Callithrix jacchus: one gene and its partners. The protein of the gene in region 3 interacts with the protein of the main gene of each other region in a pairwise test. Links are inferred from orthologs where the notes say so. Each region holds a gene or a part of one and is shown on either strand. Other genes may lie near its edges.

Region 1 (3,750 bases), on a different chromosome or scaffold from region 3:
TCTGTAAACTTGTGTCCCCAGTGGTACATTAGGAATAAATAACACTTATCTCAGGACTAGTAGACCTGAGATAATGCATGTAAAGCATTTAACATAGAGCTGACACAGAATGAGTCAAAAGACATTACTTACTACGATTATTAACAGCCCATCAAAAAAAGAGGCTAGGCTGGGCGTGGTGGCTTATGCCTGTAATCCCAATACTTTGGGAGGCCAAGGTGGGTGGATTACTTGAGGTTAGGAGTTCAAGATCAGCCTTACCAACATGGTGAAACCCTGTCTCTACGAAAAATACAAAAAATAGCTGGGCTTTGTGGCATTTGCCTATAATTCCAGCTATGTGGGAGACTGAGGCAGGAGAATTGCTTGAACCTGGGAGGTGGAGGTTGCATTGAGCTGAGATTGCCCCTGCACTCCAGCAGCAAGAGAGAGTGACTCCATCTCATTTTATTTATTTATTTTTTAATAAAGACGGGGTTTCACCATGTTGGTCAGGCTGGTCTTGAACTCCCGACCTCAGGTGATCCGCCTGCCTTGGCCTCCAAATTGCTTGGATTACAGGCATGAGCCACCACACCTGGCCTGAGACTCCATCTCAAAAAAAAAAAAAAGGAGGCTCACCCTTAGAAAGGTTTCTATAAATTAACAACACAGAGAGGACACAGGAACAGATCTTGGTAAATATGGGCTATCATTACTTAATGGTGATTTCACCAGCCCCTTTCAGCCTCAGGATGAGCTCCATTACCCCTTCCAGGGATTATAGTCAAACCTACCCCCCCTTCCCACCAGAGACCAGGCTTAGAGAGACATTAAAGGTCCCCAAGCTCCAACTCAGAGACACAAAGGATATTCGAGAGAAGAATAGGTCAAGGTTTTCGATATGGTGCCAAGGTGCTGTGGGCACAGGAACAGAGAGGTCAGAGCTTTGAAGGAACACAAGCCCCTTGCTCCCTCAGTGCTCTTCCATCAACTCTCCCCTTGGCTGGCATGTCCAAGAACTCACACTTGCTCCCTTCAGCGACGTGGACCAAGAGGTCCTCCTCCCCTGGGGGTGAATCACTGTAGGAGGCCTCTAGGCGCTGGTATTCAGTATCAAACTGCGCCATCACCACCACCCCCTGTCCACCTTGACCACCTGCCAATGAGGAGGAAAGAGACCCTGATTCAGTCCCAGCTGCTGCCCCTGGCTGCCCAGCCTACTGCCAAAAGGACTGAGAAAGTACCCTTCAGCTTTGTCTCCACTCCCAGCCTCCTTGGAGAGGAAGAGGAGTAGTAATACAAGGAAGGCCATAAGCTCAGGACTTGGGAGGCCTTAACTCTGGCCAGTCTGGGTGTCTACTGCTGCCTTCCTGGCCCAAATCCAGGATCGGCCCCTTTGTTGGGGGCTGTTTCATCTTCTAATTAATGGATAGAAGAGTTCCTCCCCTGCCCATCCTGGGAACCCTGGTCTCCCAAGAGACTGGCAATTTGGAAGCATTTTGTAAACAAATGTTTGAGAAAAGCATATGGCCCTACCAGCTCCATGGACAGTGTGTGCTCCACTCCAGCCCTCGATGCTCTGCAGCTGCTGGGGGAGAAGATGTCAGGCCCCAGAGAGTGGGGATTAAAAAGAACCCGACCCTCCCAACCGTCCACACCCCACCAAGAGGAGGCCAAGCACGGGGCAGGAAGGCTGCAGTGGGGAAGAAGCACCCTTCCAGCCAGGACTACGAGCACTTCCTCTGACCATGCTAAACAGGGCCACTCTTCCAACTCTGGGGTCTCAAGAAGTAACTTAGGGACCCCATGGAGAGTAAGTCGGTACAGGTCTGAGGCCAGGGACCCCTCTGGACTGTTTCTCCATTGCCCCATCTCAGCCTCAGAAATGACATACTTCTCAGGGTCCACAAAACCCCAATAGAGTCTTTCCTGAAGAGGACCTTTCTGGTCAACCCCGTCTCCTGCTTCCCGAGCACCAAAGACCCAGCAGGTGGGCAGAGCTGCTGGATGGGAAACCTTGACGGGGTCAGTGTTGACCCCCGATCCTAGGGGCATTTGTGGGTTCCCTCGTGGGAGCCAGGCATGGTCGGTCAAGGTGGTACTCACCTGTCCGTGCAGCCCCTCCGGGCCTTGGATCTTGGCCCAGGCTGGCCCCGGTGGGATTCCCTGGGCTAGTGAGAGTCCTGAAGCTCAGGGAAGTCACCACTCACAGGGTCAGTGTGGACCAGGGCCCGTGGAGCCCCAGCCGGCAGGGCCTGGGCTCAGGGGTTCCTGCGGATATTGCAGGGATCGAGCCAGCCCTACAGCTGATACCCTGGGTGGGCTGGCTTGCCTCCCCACACCCAACCGTGGCGACCGGACTCCACCTCGCCCCAGGGTCGCCCGGCCCCAGGCCAAGGGTTCCCAGCTACCAACAGCGGACAACCTCACGCGCGGCCTCGTCGCCCGCGCGCGCTCTCGTCCGCGCGCGCCCGCAATCAAAACATTCCGGCTGCGCGCCCCCGCCCCGCCAGCGGCGCCCCTTCCCCCGTTACTCTCCGCGAGCTCACTTAGGGCTCCGCAAGCACCCCTGGCAAAGCCAGACACGAGCCCTGGGATTCCAATAACCTGTCTCAGGTCTCACCTCAGGAACAGTGACCCGGGTGATTCCAGGGCTCCGCCGGCCCGGCTCGGCTCGGCCAGACCCGGAGCGCTAGGCCTGGTGTCTGCCACTCACTGTCACCCGCAGCCAGGCTGGCCAATAAGCGCAGGGGGTGGAGACACAACGGCCAATTCTTGGCTTAAGGGGCGGGGATAAGGGCTCGAGGCGGGTCTTAGGCCGTCAGCGGCCCAATAGTGTGCTCTACGTGGGGCGGGGCTCAGGTGCGGACGACACTGGTTGTCCTCTTTGCTGCTCCGTAGTGACGGGGACTGTTGTGTTGCAGAAATCCGACTATCGACCTGTGGACGTGCGTGCTGCTCAGCTCCCGGGACTTTTGGTGCGGCTTCTAAGGGCGTGGGCGAGTTGCTGTGGGCCCGTCATTGCTGGTCGCATGGGTAACGAAGAAAGTTCGGCTAGGCAACCTCAGTGATTTTTAACTCTGTTGGATTCATTTGAGAGCTGGATGCTCCCCTGTATTTCATTATTTTGTGGGCCGGGACGGGGGTTTGAGAAAGCGGCTTGGGGTCAAGGTAGTCATCTCACAGCTGACTCCTGGTAGCAGGATGAGGGACGAGAAGCCTTGCGGTGCAGGAGAAACCAAGTCAGGCAAGCAGGAGACGCGGCAGTAGGATCTCGTTTGGGGAAGCTGTGTTTCTTACTCGCTTTCTGCTTCAGGAGCTGCTGCTAAATAATTTCTGCTCAGCCATGTCACCAGCTCCAGATGCAGCCCCGGCTCCTGCTTCCATCTCCCTGTTTGACCTCAGCGCGGATGCTCCGGTTCTTCAGGGCCTGAGCCTGGCGAGCCATGCGCCCGGTGAGGCTCTGGCTCGTGCTCCGCGTTCTTCCTGTCCAGGTATCTGGGAAGATTTGGAGTGGACCTATGTGAAATGTGGCAGGGCTCCTTAGAGTGTATTGCCCGTTCACGGAACACATTCTTACTGGTTCCCGAGCTTAGGAGGCCAAATTATTTATCTTTCTGCTTGATTAAATTCATTTAATCTCTGGGTAATTTCCAGCACAACCCTTGTTATCAAAGAAGTCTTGCTATTGCATATGTCTCCTCACTTTAACACCACTGGCTTCAAAAACACTTCAAACTTTCTCTCTCTCTCTCTCTCTCTCTCTCT
Region 2 (2,538 bases), on a different chromosome or scaffold from region 3:
CACTCCTAGGTTCAACTAATATATGCCATTGTTGGAGACTCTGTGATTCAGCAGGGAGAAGCTGTACCTGTCCCTATCACATCCCTCTATGCCTGAGATCTTCAAGTCCCTGTGGATTCCAGAAGACTTATGAACAAGGGGAGAGTTAGGCAAACAAGGGCTGGTACACAGCTACCTTAATCCTGCCTCTTCTGCAAGGAAGTGATGCCTTTTCTGAGTGACTGGCCTGGCCAACACAACTTTCCTCATACTCCCCTGGGGAGAAGCCAAAGCTTGGGCCTCGTCATCCCAGCCTTGGGCTAGAGCAGGGAAAGAGGAGAACCAGGACAGGGACTAGTCAAACCATGCTGGGTACCATGACAGAGACTGGCCAAACTGTGGCTGCTTGGGTCCATTTGTACCCCAATCACGGGAAGGTCTCCCTCCCCAGTATGCCTACTCAATTTTAATTAACTCTGCCTCCCAGGTACCCTGCCACCACCCCTCAAACCATGGTCCCAGATTTCCTACCGGCATGTTCCTTCTGGGCAGAGGCTGCCTGGCTGAGGAACCATCTTCCAGGCTCCGTGCCCCCCGCCGATAGGAGCGAGTGCTCTCAGAGCTGGAAGGCAGGGAAAGGCCAATGTGATCCTGGTGTCCCAAGAGTTCTTCAGAGTTGGGAGAAAGGGCTCAGGAACAGAGCCAGTCTGGGGGCTTAGGATGGGTGGGTAGAGTCCACAAGTCCCCCAGGCCAGGTCCATCACAGGCCCATGGAATTGACCTCCAGAGGGCTCTGGGGATATCCCCAGGTCTACTTCTCTCCAAATTCCAGACTGAATGGGTTTGCAAGGAAGGGAGAAGACTGGATCCTGGGTTGGAGGTGGGGACAGTGAAGATGCCACTGGGAGCCCCTAGAACAAGCCACACAGGTAGGACTAACCCTCCTCTACTCTAGCATCAGCAGGCAGGATCCCTGGTTCCTCCTCAGCTCTTCATGCAGGACTTGGGAGCAAGTTTGTGAAGGGGGAAGGGGTCTCAGGGTCCAGCACTTCTGCATAAGTCATGGGCCCAGAGTGTGACCCAGTCTGTAGGCAGGTACGCTATAGAGGTGTGGAAATCAATGGATGCTCAGAGAATTCACGGGATTTGCCCTGGTTGCACAACTGGGCCCTCACCAACCTGAACCTGACGGGGAGATACATCTCTGAAGGGGTGGTCCCGGATGTCAGGCTGGGTCTGGAGGTGCCTGGGGGCTCCCGGAGGTCATCTTCAGAGCTGGGTGGGGCTTGGCTGGGACCCCCAGGGTCCGTGGGGCTCATGAGGCTGGAGGAGGAGGAGGAGGAGGCTGGACTGCCCAGGCTCTCAGGGGCCTCAGAGGCATCTGAACTCAGGCTGGGGACTTCAGAACGATCTGGAATCAGAAATGATGAAGCCTGTCTTTACCACTTGCTCTGTGCCCAACCTCAAAGTAGTCTCTGGCCTCTAGGATCTCTCTTTTCTTTCTTCTTTTTTTGAGACAGAGTCTCACTCTATCACCCAGACTCTCTGCCTCCCGGGTTCAAGCGATTCTCCTACCTCAGCCTCCCAAGTAGCTGGCATTACAGGTGTGCTACCATGCCTGGCTAGTTTTTACATTTTTAGCAGAGACAGGGTTTCATCATGTTTGCCAGGCGTCCCAAACTCCTTACCTCAGGTGATCCACCTGCCTCAATCATAGGCATGAGCCACCACACCTGGCCTAACATCTCTTATGGTTCTCTCCCCTTCTAGCTGTCCAGTATTCTTCAACTAGAGCCTTCATTCGCGGCTGCCAGGGCCAGGCTAACTCACTTTTTTACTTGTGCTCACACTCTGTCCTCAGTTTGGATTCTTCTGCTCATCCCTCAGGCTCACTCAGATACTACCCCCACCAGGAAGCCTTCCTAAGCCAACCCCCAATCCTAGCAGGACATGCTCCCTCCCTCCCCTAACCTCCCAGAACAAGTCTGTTTCTTCATTTGACAAATAGTTATTGAGAACAGCCAGGCTCTGCACTAGGTGCTGGACAAACTGTTTTCAACAAAACACTTAAAGTCCCTGTCCTTTGGAGATCTACATGCTATATCACATTGTGCCTTGTATTATAATGAACTGTATTCCAGTTTTTACCTCCCCTCCTAGTCTGTGTCTTTCTAGCCCTCAAAGGACTCAGGATGAAGTACATGCTCAATAAATCCTTCTCTCTCCTAAGTGAAGCATTGAGGAATTTGGAATAATATGGTCTGGGATTCGAATTCTACATCAGAGACTTATTAGCTGTGGGATCTTAAGCATGTGACTTAACACCTCTGTTCTTTTACCTGTAAGGTAAAAGAGGGGAAGATGAGAACCCCTCTCTGGAGGTCATTTTGAGGATGCTATGGACTAATATATGCACTCAGCTCAGTGCCCCGGCATACACAGACCCTCTGGGAATGGCATGGTGAGCATTTTTCTGGGCATCCAACTGTACCTCCACTGGCGCGTCTTGCACACCCTTGGACCATGGTCCGAGAAGAGTTTTTGATGGGCAAGGGCGGG
Region 3 (3,750 bases):
CTGTTACTTTTACATTATAGATATCACATATTCAACTACATATACCTATTCATATATGATATCTCGTGAGAAATGAAGAAATATTCTTAAACGCTTTGTAATGAATAAAAGTACTTTTTGAGTTTTAATGCTACCTTACTACCAACAGAATCTAAATTAGGCAATGAAAAACTAAGCAATTTTTTTTGGTCACTCTTCCGGTTAAATTACTGTTTCAAAACAGAATGGGAATTTAGAATTTCATTAGCGAATCTTTTTCTATCTCTAAGGTCTTTATATAACAGATTAAGGAAAAGTACACAGATTCGTTTAATCATTTTTTTAAATTCCAGGCCTGACAGTTTTCTAATAACTGAATTACAGTTTAAATAACTTGTTACATTTTAAATAGTCCCATTTTAATGCAACTATTCAGAAAAGACCAAAAAACAAAAAGTTAAATCACCCTTCAACTTCCAAACCTTTAAAACTTTCCATTTCTTTAAACATTTCCTCCTTACATTTAGGGAATCCTTGGTCCTCACAACAGCACAAAATACAGTGTCAATGAACAAATTTAAATTGTAACACATTTTAAAATCCTGTGAATCTTAGAATAGTCTATATAGAAATGGTTGTTTTCTCTCGCATTTGAAAAAATTAGAAGTATTACATTCATGCAATATATTAGTAATGTTTGATTAAATCGCCAGAAGGCTGAACTTTCTTACTTACGTTAGGTATTCTTCATTACTTCCAAACAAAATCTTTCTGATAACCAATAAATTAACAAAATATTTGAAGTCATCTTAGTTAGCACTTACAATCTACACATGCTTTGAATTCACAAACGTACAGAATTATCTGAAAGTTTGGGGTCACTTAAGCACGTAAAGGGAAAGTTGAAATATTTTAAACTACACTTGTATTCTCACAACCACAAACTGAAATCAAATGTCAAGTGAAACACCCCAATTTCCTTTTCTGCCTACAGCAATAGCTACAGCATTGTTTTGCTCAACCTTTTAAAGAGATTCTTTAAGCTTCGACTTCCTCTTCTCTACTAGACATCGGCTTTCTTCTAAGAGTCACTGAACCAGGCAGTTTGAGGATGGGAGTCAAGTTCAGAAACGGGGCCCCCTCTTCATTCTCTTAGTACAGCATTTAATATATGTGTTTAGCCCTTCCTGCCTCTGCTCACGCTGCTTCCTCTGTCTGGAAAGCGCTCCCCACTCACCTTGCCAAAATCCTGGTAAAAGTCCAAATCGAACCCAGGTTACTTGATTTATCTCCCGGCCCCAGCTCCGGCTCCCCTACGCCCCTAACCTTAAACTACAGGCAGCCCCAAACCATGTCTGTGTATACACGAGACTCTTCCTTGCCTTGCAATGTTTCTTATAAACTTATGTATAAGAGAGAGAGGAAGGAAGAGATTCGAGCATTTATTAAGGGAAATTATATATTTAAAAGTAATAAAGCTGTATTCAATCCTACTTACTATTTAAAAGCACGATGTTCTAAAACTCCCTTTTCCCTTATTTTTAGCCGGGAGGAGCGGGGACTCAACGTCTCTATTCGTCAGATTAGAAACCTTGTGCTTTATCTCACAATAAAAACTTCACATTTTTTTTTCTTTTAAATACAGTCTCGCTTGGTCCCCCAGGCTTTAGTGCAGGGCCGCGATCTCGGCTCACTGCAACCTCCACCTCCCGGGTTCTAGCGATTCTCCTGCTTCAGCCTCCCGAATAACTGGGATCACAGGCGTGCGCCACCACTACGGGCTAATTTTTGTATTTTTATTAGAGACGGGGTCTCACCATGTTGCCCAGGGTGGTCTCGAACTCCCGACCTCAGGTGAGCCGCTCGCCTCGGCCTCCCAAAGTGCTTGGATTACAGACATGAGCCACCGTGTCCGGCCCACAGTTGGTCGAAGCAACATTAAAACTTAAAATACCACGGATTTTTAAATCCGTGTTAAAATACCACGGATGATTTTTAAAGCCGCGCCACATTTTGTACAACTGTCAGTACAAGGGGGATCACCTCTTTGCATCTGATGAAATTAAACTAAAAAGGGGGAGAGAGCTTGCCCGAGGTCTGAAGGTTCCTCATTCTTGTTCTAAAACATAAAACCACCACTTCAATACATACCCATTTTTAAGTATGGGAACTCCTCGTACTCCTTTAGTTCGATTATGACTTCCCTAATCCTAAAGTCGTTGGCAATTTCTAAGGTTCTTGCTTATGACAACAGGATCAAATTACAGAGCGTGGCTTGGATTTCGGACGCAAACCCTGAACCAGGTGACTTTTTAAAAAGCTGACAATTTTATCACATAACATTTCAAAGACAGAACGCGCCCCAGCCAAAACTAAGCTCCCTAAACTCACAGCGGCAGGATCCCCAGAAGAGCTCCTTCCCCCGGTAACACTCACCGGATGCCATGGCTCCGCTCCCCGCGCCTTCCCGCAGGCAGCTTCCAGCGTCCCGGCCGGAGGCGGCCGCAGTCAGTCCGTCAGTCAGTCAATCAGGAGGCCGAGGGACCTGTGCCGGTGGGGCCCCCAGTCCCCCGACCACCCCAGGGTCCTCCTCCTTCTTCCCGCCCTCGGTTGGGTTTGAGGATCACACCTTCCCACCCCCTGAATTCCTGCGCTCCGGGTCGCCCTGCGTCGCCTGTCCACCTTGCGGGAGCCAGGGGCAGGGGGCGGAGCGGGGCGAGAACCGATTCCCCGCCCGGCCGAGAGGCGGGCTGCTTGGCGGGAGGGAATTTCCCGCGGCTGACGTATACCCGACGCGGCCGCCTTCACCCGGAGGCGTGGGGCGGGGCGTCGCGTCCTCGCGGCCCCCCCCCCCCCCGCGCACGCTCACGCTCTTTGCCCGCCTCCGCGCGTACGCCCCCAGAGCTGCTGCTGCCACTGCGGCGGTGGTGGTGGTGGTGGTCTTGGCAGGGGGTCGAGGCTGCGGGAACCTAGGGAGCTTCGGGAGCGCAGGGAACGGTGGGCGCCGGGAGGTGACGGCTCGCAGCGTGAGAAGGCCGCCGGCTCCTAAGAAATCCCCCTCCTCCAGGTTGTTCTTCCGAGTGTAGTTTAAAGTTCAGGAGCGGGCGGAAGGGTGCGGGTGACGTAGAGAGGGCCGGCCGCCCGGGAGCCTTTGGGGGCGCGTCGGGCGGCCAAGTGGGGCTGATCCTGGCAGCCCGGGAGGGCGACGGCCGGGGTTTTCGAGAGGTGGTTCCCCCTATTCCCGATTTCGCACATGCAAATCTCCACCCCCGCGCCAGCGCGCGGGACTGTGGAGGGGGAAGTGCGGTAGCGCGGGGGCCTGTCTTCTTCTGTAATTCCTACATTTGCATACGGGGAGCTACCCCACCCCCCGGCTGATTTTTTTTCGTCTACCTAAATTGCGAGGGCACTGTGAACTTTATGTATTTTACCTGCTGAAACCCGTTTAAACTCAAAAGGTCTGCACTTCGAGTTGGTTGTCTCATTACGCAGTGTACTCAAGTTTAGTGAAGTGGACACCTTATTCCGAGATTTCACATAGATACCAAGAAAAGGGGAAATGGAGCAAACATTTAGGGCCATTAAAGGACCTAGGATAACTTCGTTACTTTCATTTGAATAGTACCTGCTATAGGTCAGATAATTTCTATACCTCATCTATGACATTTATTATTCCTAATTTTATAGCTGAAGAATTTGGGGTTCAGAGAATTACTTCAACATACAGTACTTCAGAATGCTGGTAAAAGAAAAGACACAGTTAAAAGCCAG

The links.
Region 1: the proteins of REL (region 3) and ATG9A interact in binary tests that used the Homo sapiens proteins (3 or more experiments, as listed by UniProt). The two-hybrid records come from large-scale screens. The link is inferred for Callithrix jacchus from reciprocal best matches to the Homo sapiens genes REL and ATG9A.
Region 2: the proteins of REL (region 3) and ASAP3 interact in binary tests that used the Homo sapiens proteins (3 or more experiments, as listed by UniProt). The two-hybrid records come from large-scale screens. The link is inferred for Callithrix jacchus from reciprocal best matches to the Homo sapiens genes REL and ASAP3.

The regions. Positions count from the first base shown.
Region 1 is NC_133507.1:140,966,354-140,970,103, forward strand, and holds the start of ATG9A (autophagy-related protein 9A), read right to left. Parts: upstream 2,690-3,750; 5' UTR 2,606-2,689; exon of another isoform or gene 2,254-2,605; 5' UTR 2,089-2,253; intron 1,571-2,088; exon of another isoform or gene 1,568-1,570; 5' UTR 1,519-1,567; intron 1,139-1,518; 5' UTR 1,110-1,138; coding exon 1,007-1,109; intron 898-1,006; coding exon 854-897; intron 1-853. Other genes in the region: tRNA endonuclease ANKZF1, read left to right, coding at 3,329-3,476. UniProt on the Homo sapiens protein: Phospholipid scramblase involved in autophagy by mediating autophagosomal membrane expansion. Cycles between the preautophagosomal structure/phagophore assembly site (PAS) and the cytoplasmic vesicle pool and supplies membrane for the growing autophagosome.
Region 2 is NC_133508.1:60,176,574-60,179,111, forward strand, and holds part of ASAP3 (arf-GAP with SH3 domain, ANK repeat and PH domain-containing protein 3), read right to left. Parts: coding exon 2,471-2,538; intron 1,391-2,470; coding exon 1,159-1,390; intron 602-1,158; coding exon 511-601; intron 300-510; coding exon of another isoform or gene 246-299; exon of another isoform or gene 157-245; intron 1-156. UniProt on the Homo sapiens protein: Promotes cell proliferation.
Region 3 is NC_133515.1:53,248,071-53,251,820, forward strand, and holds the start of REL (proto-oncogene c-Rel), read right to left. Parts: upstream 2,680-3,750; 5' UTR 2,426-2,679; coding exon 2,416-2,425; intron 1-2,415. UniProt on the Homo sapiens protein: Proto-oncogene that may play a role in differentiation and lymphopoiesis.